Linked DNA regions of Nothobranchius furzeri. The protein of the gene in region 2 interacts with the protein of the main gene of each other region in a pairwise test. Links are inferred from orthologs where the notes say so. Each region holds a gene or a part of one and is shown on either strand. Other genes may lie near its edges. The genes, in order: znf830 and aqr.

The links.
Region 1: the proteins of aqr (region 2) and znf830 interact in a two-hybrid assay, tested with the Homo sapiens proteins (2 studies listed by BioGRID and IntAct, with this or other methods). The link is inferred for Nothobranchius furzeri from reciprocal best matches to the Homo sapiens genes AQR and ZNF830.

Annotation. Positions count from the first base shown.
Region 1 is NC_091751.1:50,905,122-50,909,102, reverse strand, and holds znf830 (zinc finger protein 830), read right to left. Parts: upstream 2,274-3,981; 5' UTR 2,164-2,273; coding exon 1,141-2,163; 3' UTR 597-1,140; downstream 1-596. Other genes in the region: ankyrin repeat domain-containing protein 13C, read left to right, coding at 3,561-3,918.
Region 2 is NC_091758.1:25,923,659-25,927,482, forward strand, and holds the end of aqr (RNA helicase aquarius), read right to left. Parts: intron 3,449-3,824; coding exon 3,274-3,448; intron 1,826-3,273; coding exon 1,721-1,825; intron 1,256-1,720; coding exon 983-1,255; 3' UTR 821-982; downstream 1-820.

The DNA.
Region 1 (3,981 bases), on a different chromosome or scaffold from region 2:
CATCAGTCACAAATCACTACTTACATTTTAGACAAAATTCAGACAGGCATCTGTAAGGAAAACATTCAGATCTAATGTAGCCAGGTCTTTGGTTTATTACAGTAAACCACCGATGACCATTGGTGTTGTTTTAATCTCATTCCCGAACACCAGTCTTTCTATATTCTTTTCATCCATTTCCTCCATTTTCCATCAGGCTTTTCTTGACCCATCAAGTTCCAAATGCTCTCATAAACACCCGGTACAACTTTTAAACTCTGTGTTTACAAACGAACACTAGGAATGGCATTGTCAGACAATTATTCACCTCAAGTGAATACTGCAGTTTAAACCTTTTGGGATAAAACAAAGTGTTTTTGTTCTGTATTTATTCCTCCTTATTTTCACCAGGTTTATAACGGATCACATAATCTGTTCATGTATTTATACTTTTTAAAATTTATTTTGTCATGTTTTGTAGATATGAAGGGCTATGAACACTTTGAAGTGGTTGTTTATGAGACATGCAGCAATAAGTAAGTTTGAGATGTTGCAGTGGGAAAAAGGCAACCCTAGCTCATCATATATATAAAAGGTAGTGTAAGAAACACTGACAATCACTATTTCCAATACATTTTATTGCATTTTAATAGTGCATCTATCTACATCGCAGAAATATAAAACTTTGTTGTGCTTTGTACAAATGTATTATTAACTGGTTATCTTGTTAAGGGGGCCAGCTTGTTGAAACTTAATTTATGGTCTTAATCACAATATTTTAATGATTTAGTTCTGCAAATGTTGATTTTTGATGTGACATGAACTTTTTTTTTTTCATTAAACATGTCATCAATAGGTTATGCAGGACAATGGTTATTTGAGCTCATGTTGTCAGGGCCTTGGCCGCCATCATGGTGTAAATTGTTGCTGTAAATGAGATTTTATGATTGTTTTTTGTTTGGGCACCAATAAAGATGATAAATGGTTTTATTTTGTGGTCATTAACTGATATTGTTTCTGAGTTTTACTCACATCTTGCAACTTTGTGTTAATCACTGTAATGTTATAGAAAAACATGAGCATTTTTAAATCAAATCTATTTATAAATCTTGAACTGAAATCTTTAAACAAAATAATTGTTGAGTCAGTAATAAAGTTCCTTCAGGCCAGAGCCCCTTTAGCCCTCCAGTCTCGAGACAAAAGCCCCAGGAGCCCTTCTTCATCCTCCTCATCATCTTCAACAGTCTCCTCTGTTTGAATGCGTTCACTAGGCACGTGCACAACCTTCCTTTTCAGCACTTCTCTCTTATCCCTGAGTAGCTCCACTCTTTTGTAACACTCAATTTGTTCATCAATTTCATCGATCTGGCGTTCAATGCGACCTTCTTCGTCATCCTCCGCCACGATGGCCTCTGATTTGGTGTTCACCTGTCGTATCTCCTTCTGAAACTCTTCCCACTCTTTGTCCATATGATCTTTTGGTGCATCCACGTTTCGCACTTTGGCGTCCCTGACTGGGTCGTCGAAAAAGCCTTCAGGGAGCGCCTCTGCTGTGTTATCCTTCTTCTCAATGGCCTTTTCCTGCACGTCTGCTTTAAGGATTGATCCTGAATGGGAAATGGCAGGTGTGGATGGGATGGAGCTGTCAAAGAAGTCAGATGGTAGTCCTGCAACTTCAGTCTTCTGAGCAGGTGGATTCGTCTCATCAGCTTCCTCTTCCTCATCATCATCCCCGTCATAAACACCGGCCAAGAGACTCAGTCCTGCAGACTTTTGAGCAGGGACAGCAGCTTCATCGCTGGGTTTATCGAAGAAATCTCCAGGAACTCCTGACGCAGCCTGACCATCAACCGCCGCTGGTTTTGCCTTCTTCCCAATAGCGTCTTCGCTGTCTGACGCTTTCCTCTTCACCGCTTGACTCGGTGCAGCCACTGATTGAGTCTTGGCTGCCTTCAGCTCAGCAACCTTTTCCTTATGCTGCTTTCCAAGAACATGGGCTGGCCACAGTAGCTCCGACTTCACTTGGACGCTGCACAGGACACAGCTGAGGTGACCGAGACTGTTGTATTTAGCGAAAGGAGACACGATGCGATTCTTCTCGGTGGTTTGTCTTTGTTTCTCTCTCATCAACCGTCGAAGCTCTTCTTGATTTACTGCTTTCTTTCCTTTTTTAGAGGATGCCATTTTTAATAACACGTCTTGTTAGCCAGGTAGCAACTAGCTCACAACACCGTAAAAATACGTCTCATGAAGATGACGTATCTTCTTCGTCTTTATCGCGGGTAAAAGGTAACGCCTAGCTCATTGCTGCCATCAACTGGATTTGAACTGGAATAACACAACCTACATTTTTTATTTCTTTCTGATTTTGAATGAATGCCCCTCTCACTCCTTTCCACCTTTTTTAACCGTGTTTAGCAACATTTTGGAAACTTTTGGGTTCATAACTATTAAAAGTCACGTATTTGACAATATGGCTGATATTATGTTTTTGCACAATGTTTAGTTATTTGTTAACGATTCCTTCTGTGTTTAAAATGATAATTGGGTAAAGGCCTATCTAAATTTACGAGATTTTTTCGGAAAAGTTTCAGTTATTCTTGGCAGACACTCAAACTACAAGCATATAAAAACAACACTAAAACTATAAGATATAAAAAATAAAAGACTAAATAACATTAATTGAGATTACATGTATTTTTTCTGCAACTAATTATTAAAATGAGCCTTTAAGGTATCTATGAAAGTGTATGGAAGTCAGTAATACTAACACGTGGGATGTGAAAGCGCCAATATAAGTGTCAAATCAAGCTGACATGCATGTTTTTGGTTTGTGGGAAACCGGAGTCATAAACTTTTCATGTGTCATAAAAGTTGTGTTTTCTAAAATATCACATTAACATATGTCTGTTCTTGGAAAAGCAATTTTATATTTCGTTGAAAATAACGGCATAAAAATGAACAAGTGTATACTTTAATTTTTGTCTCGTGTTAAAACACACAATATACCTTGGTTGAACAAAAATAATACATTTTTTTTACATTTTCTTTTATTAGCTGTATTTTAGAAGTTACTAAATCAACATCCTGTCTTTAAATTAATCATATTAATTTACTCTTTAAACCAATAATCTCGCGAGATTTGCGGTACACCGCTGGTGCTAGCGAGAATGTTAGCTTTTTGGTTTATTATACCAACCTGTCCGCCCCACTTTTGCTGCAAAGACTGAATCGATAATATTAAAACGTAGATTTAAGGTGCGATAGAATAGATAACGATGTAGCCGTCGTTAGTCGCTGTACGTTTTAGCTTTATGTTATTTTAGTACAAGTGTTATTTTGGGTTTAGCATTAATTTCTGTTTTCATCGCCGCACCCACCATATTCATTATTTTATTGTGGGCTAGCTAGCTAGCGCCGGGGGAGCTAATTGACTCGGGACAACAGCTGTAACGATATTTAATCAAATATTTAAAACAAGCAAATATTTGTCGTTTATTTGCGGAGCCTTTCAGTGCTTTAATAAACGCCACGCCTTCACCAGTTTGTAATCTAGTAATTAGCGTACTGTAGTCTGCACCATGACAGGTGAAAAGATCCGCACCATGCGAAAAGATCACAAAAAAGCAAACAAAAACCAGGAGATAACGGACACCTACGAGGAAACCTCTAACGGTACGATCTCTAACGACACTTACAACCACTTTAAATCCAACAAGGCTTTTCAGAAATCAGTTAAAACCTCCGCGCTGCAGCAGCAGCTTAATGCAAACAACATCAACGGAAACGCATCAGTGAAGGACGATGACAACAAAAACCCAATTATCCTGACCAGTGATGAGCTGGAGTTCCCTGTTCATGAGTGTGTGTACAAAGGAGATGTGCGTCGGCTCTCTTCTCTCATTAGGACCCACAGCATTTCTCAGAAAGATCTACATGGTAAAACGCTAATTTCGTTGATTTTAAATGCTTTAGGATTGTTTATTTATCTTTCTGTACTAC
Region 2 (3,824 bases):
TTGCAGACATTTTCATTGGAGCTGTCTGAATTATGCACGACTTCCTTGCTAAGTTATGCAAGATCTGTCATTGTGATTCATGCAGCAGCCAACAGATAATCTCTTATCCGACACGTCGTTCTAATCCTTTCCTCAGCTAGCAGGAAGCATAACCTACTGCTCCTGTGAACTTTTACCCAGAATGCCCTGCACCTAGACAATACGAGGGGATTTCATAAACCTACACTTGACATGGCATCAGTGCACGGTTCACCATCAGCAGCCCAGACACCAGCAGCTGTGCGGGCGACCTGCTCCGTCAACCAGCCCGAGGTGTGATGCAACAACTAACCTCTGGTGCACCATAATGAATTTATCTCCAGTCTGTCTCTGCCTGCAGGCTGGGGGACTGTTAACCGCTTCATGTTAATTAAATTAGGTTTAAATTACCAAGACCTATTTTTTTTAACCTTTTGATGTTAACACAAATATTAAGTCTCGCATTAATGTCTTCACCATACGCAGAAATCTCATTCCTTACTACCCAACGCTCTGCAGAGCTGCAAATATGTGAATGGTTGAGGATTTGTTGTTGCTGGTTGAGTGAGTGCATTTCCACAGGGCAGCTTGAAATTCCCCAGCATACACACAGGCTCATGTGTGAAGGACCTGACCTATAAATGCAGCTTAGTTGAGCTTGTATAGGTTGAACCAATCAGATTTGAAGCTGATAAATGAATGAATCATGACAGAGATTGAAATAAAGCCTTTTTGTTGGTGTGTGTGTGTGCGTGTGTGTGTATGTGTGTGTGAGAGAGAGAGAAATGATTGGATATACAAAAAGTTTTCCATGTTATTTAATAAAGAACTGGATGTTATAAAAAATACAAAAATCATCATCATGACGATTTTATTTAGTAGAAAACAGATGCAGAAATAATTAAATCAAACTACTTTTTTATCCAGAGGGGAATCCCTCATCAGCAGTCCAATTAAATGCGTTCTACTGCTCTTCTGCGCCGCCCTCCTCCTCGCTGTCGCTGTCTCTGCCCGGATGCTGCGGCATCTTCGTGTGGTCGACTTCATCCTGCTCTCCTTTGCTCTCGTTTGTGTCCTCTGGGTTCGGCACGGAGCTCGCCTCTCCTTCGGGGGTTCCCTGCTCCATGGGCGTTTCTTTCTGGGATTTCTCTGAGCTTTCTGGTGTTTTCTCAGCTGCAGCATTTGAAGACTCTGGAGTTTGTTGGGGAGGCGTTGCCAGTTTCTGCTGCTGCTGCTGCTGTTGAGAAGTTACACAAAAAAAGGATTAAAACATGTTTCTGCATAAAAAATTTCAAACATTAAAGGAAAATGTTCACAAAGTCTCTAGTAGGTGTTTTGATCAAACTTCACAATATTTAGCGTCTAAGTCTGAGGTGATATTTAGCTGCATTAGTTGAAGGAAACAAAAACAAAGTATTTTTTTTCCATGAATTTTAGGTATAAATATGATCATGTTTTGTTGTGTTATAATAAAATCAAATATTTGCTCCTTAGGAACATTTTTTTTTTTATTCCTTCAGTTATTTAAAAAAAATGTATCTAGACACAAAACAGATAGATATGTAATTAGTAAATTTACTCATCTCAAACCAATTTAGCTTTTATTAGATAATTATCCACAATTAAAGGTACATTTGTTCATTGATTTATCAATTTTTAAATGAAGAAAGCCTTAAATATGCTGTTTTATCTGCTGTTTTACCTGTTTGTACTTCTGGGAGGTCTGGATCATGTGCATGTACATGTTGTACACAAGGTTAGCCATCTCCGGCATGTTATTCACAATCCGGTCAGGCTGCTCATCTCTCTGAAGAGAAAAGTAAAAAAATAAATAAAATAAAGGAACAATTAGAGAATCCAGAATAAGACAAAAAGGAAAATAATATCATTCACATTAGAGTTGATTAATTCAGGCACCATCTGGGGCAGCACTGATTTAGGGCTAAATGTTGGGAGGAGATTAAAACTTCCTTTCCTGCTGCCTTGTTATTCGTAAGCTAATATTTCCCTCCAGCTTTTGCTACTTGCACACTGATCAAATGCAGTTTAGGCTGCAGAGTCAGTAATTTGATGGCATCAGTATGCAGACAGAGTCCTGCAGCCTAAACTGAAGAGAGGAACATTCAGCTAAGCTGCTGATGGTAAATCCAGGCGAGGTGCTCGCAGACGCCCTGTGGGCTTCGTGTCAAAGTCAATGAGACTGAAAGCTTTACTACTATACAACTTAACAGCAGTAAAAACTATCAGTCAAACCTTCTGATTCATTTCCAAACGTGATGCATTTAGTTTTACAAATTAACCCAAACTGTTTCTATTCAGACAAAACCGTCGAGATAACAAGCCCACGAGAGTTCCTGTTGTGTCGTCAGACAAAATCTTACTTTTCTTCTGCATCTGTGTGTTCGCAGGTGACGTATACTGACTCTAGGTGGATGTGATAAGCAGGGGGACACATGTGTGTGCCCAATAGAGCTGTCCCTCATGGGGATGACCACTTGAGAGTCAGAGGATGTGTCAGAGGCTGCGGGGTATTATAGACACAATACAGTGACCAGACACAAGTCGTGCCACGCTGGTCTGGATGGACTTGGGAAAAAGGTTTTGTCTCTACCATAGCCAGGTTTGTGTTACCTGAAAATACCAAACAAGTCAAGGTCTGTGTGTGTATTTGTCTTCAACACTGGGAAGAATAATAAAGAAAGTCCAATGTAGGTGAGGAAGTAAAGAAGAGGGATCCGAGGAAAAGTTGATGCGTTTCTGTTGCGTGTGACCTTTAGGGCATAAACGACATTGCACAGGTGTCCCTAAATAGGGCGCTTCTGGTCCTACGACACAAACGTGTGATCAGGAACCAACGTCAATGTTAATAATAATCAGGCTCCACCCACTGCAGCTGCTTTAACTCACATACACAAAGAACATCTTCCCTGCTCATTTGGATCAGAACGCCACAACATACGTTGCCATTTTGCTGTTAGAGCTTTTCTCGTTTATGCGAAACGGTTTCTGATCAAAACTAAATTTATACCAAGTTATAACGGTAGACATAACTTTGAGACTGCTTCTTTTTCTCATCACACTGACACACAATTCAAATACGAGAGGACCTTGAATTGAAATTACGAACAAAATTTGGGTACTATGCTAGTGTGTGTGTGTGTGTGTGTGTGTGTGTGTGTGTGTGTGTGTGTGTGTGTGTGTGTGTGTGTGTGTGTGTGTGTGTGTGTGTGTGTGTGTGTGTGTGTGTTGACGCACATGCTGCTCCTGGTTGTAGTACTCGTGTGGTCGAATGTGGAGCTGCAGCGGTCTGGCAGTGAGCTGGTTGAAGACTGGAGTCAGCTCAAAACAGTTCTGGAACAGAGACACTCGGGCAAAGATGTAGAGACCCAACCTGGCCCTTGACATGGCCACCACCAGACGCCGCACATCCCTGTGGAGAACGATAAATGTTGAAGTTGTTTTTTTTTCTACTTTCCTTTGGTACAAAGGGGGGGAAAAGATTCAAAGACCTGAGTGGGAAGGAGGGAAAGCTGTGGAAGAAAAACCTGTGTAGGGGCAACAAAACAAAAGCTGGCGCCACGGTGAAAGGATAAACACGAACAAGCAAAGATGAGTTCGGTGTAGGAGGGAGGTTTAGAGGAGGATAAGCAGGACTAGTTGAGTGGGACAAATATGGAAGAAGACAAAGATAAGCAACGATTAAAAAAGGGGGAAGTGGGACAAAGAGGAAGGGGCAGATTTAGGTTACTTTTATTTGCTCTCTAAGGTAATTAAGAGATTAGGAGGGACAGGAGAGTAATTTCTAT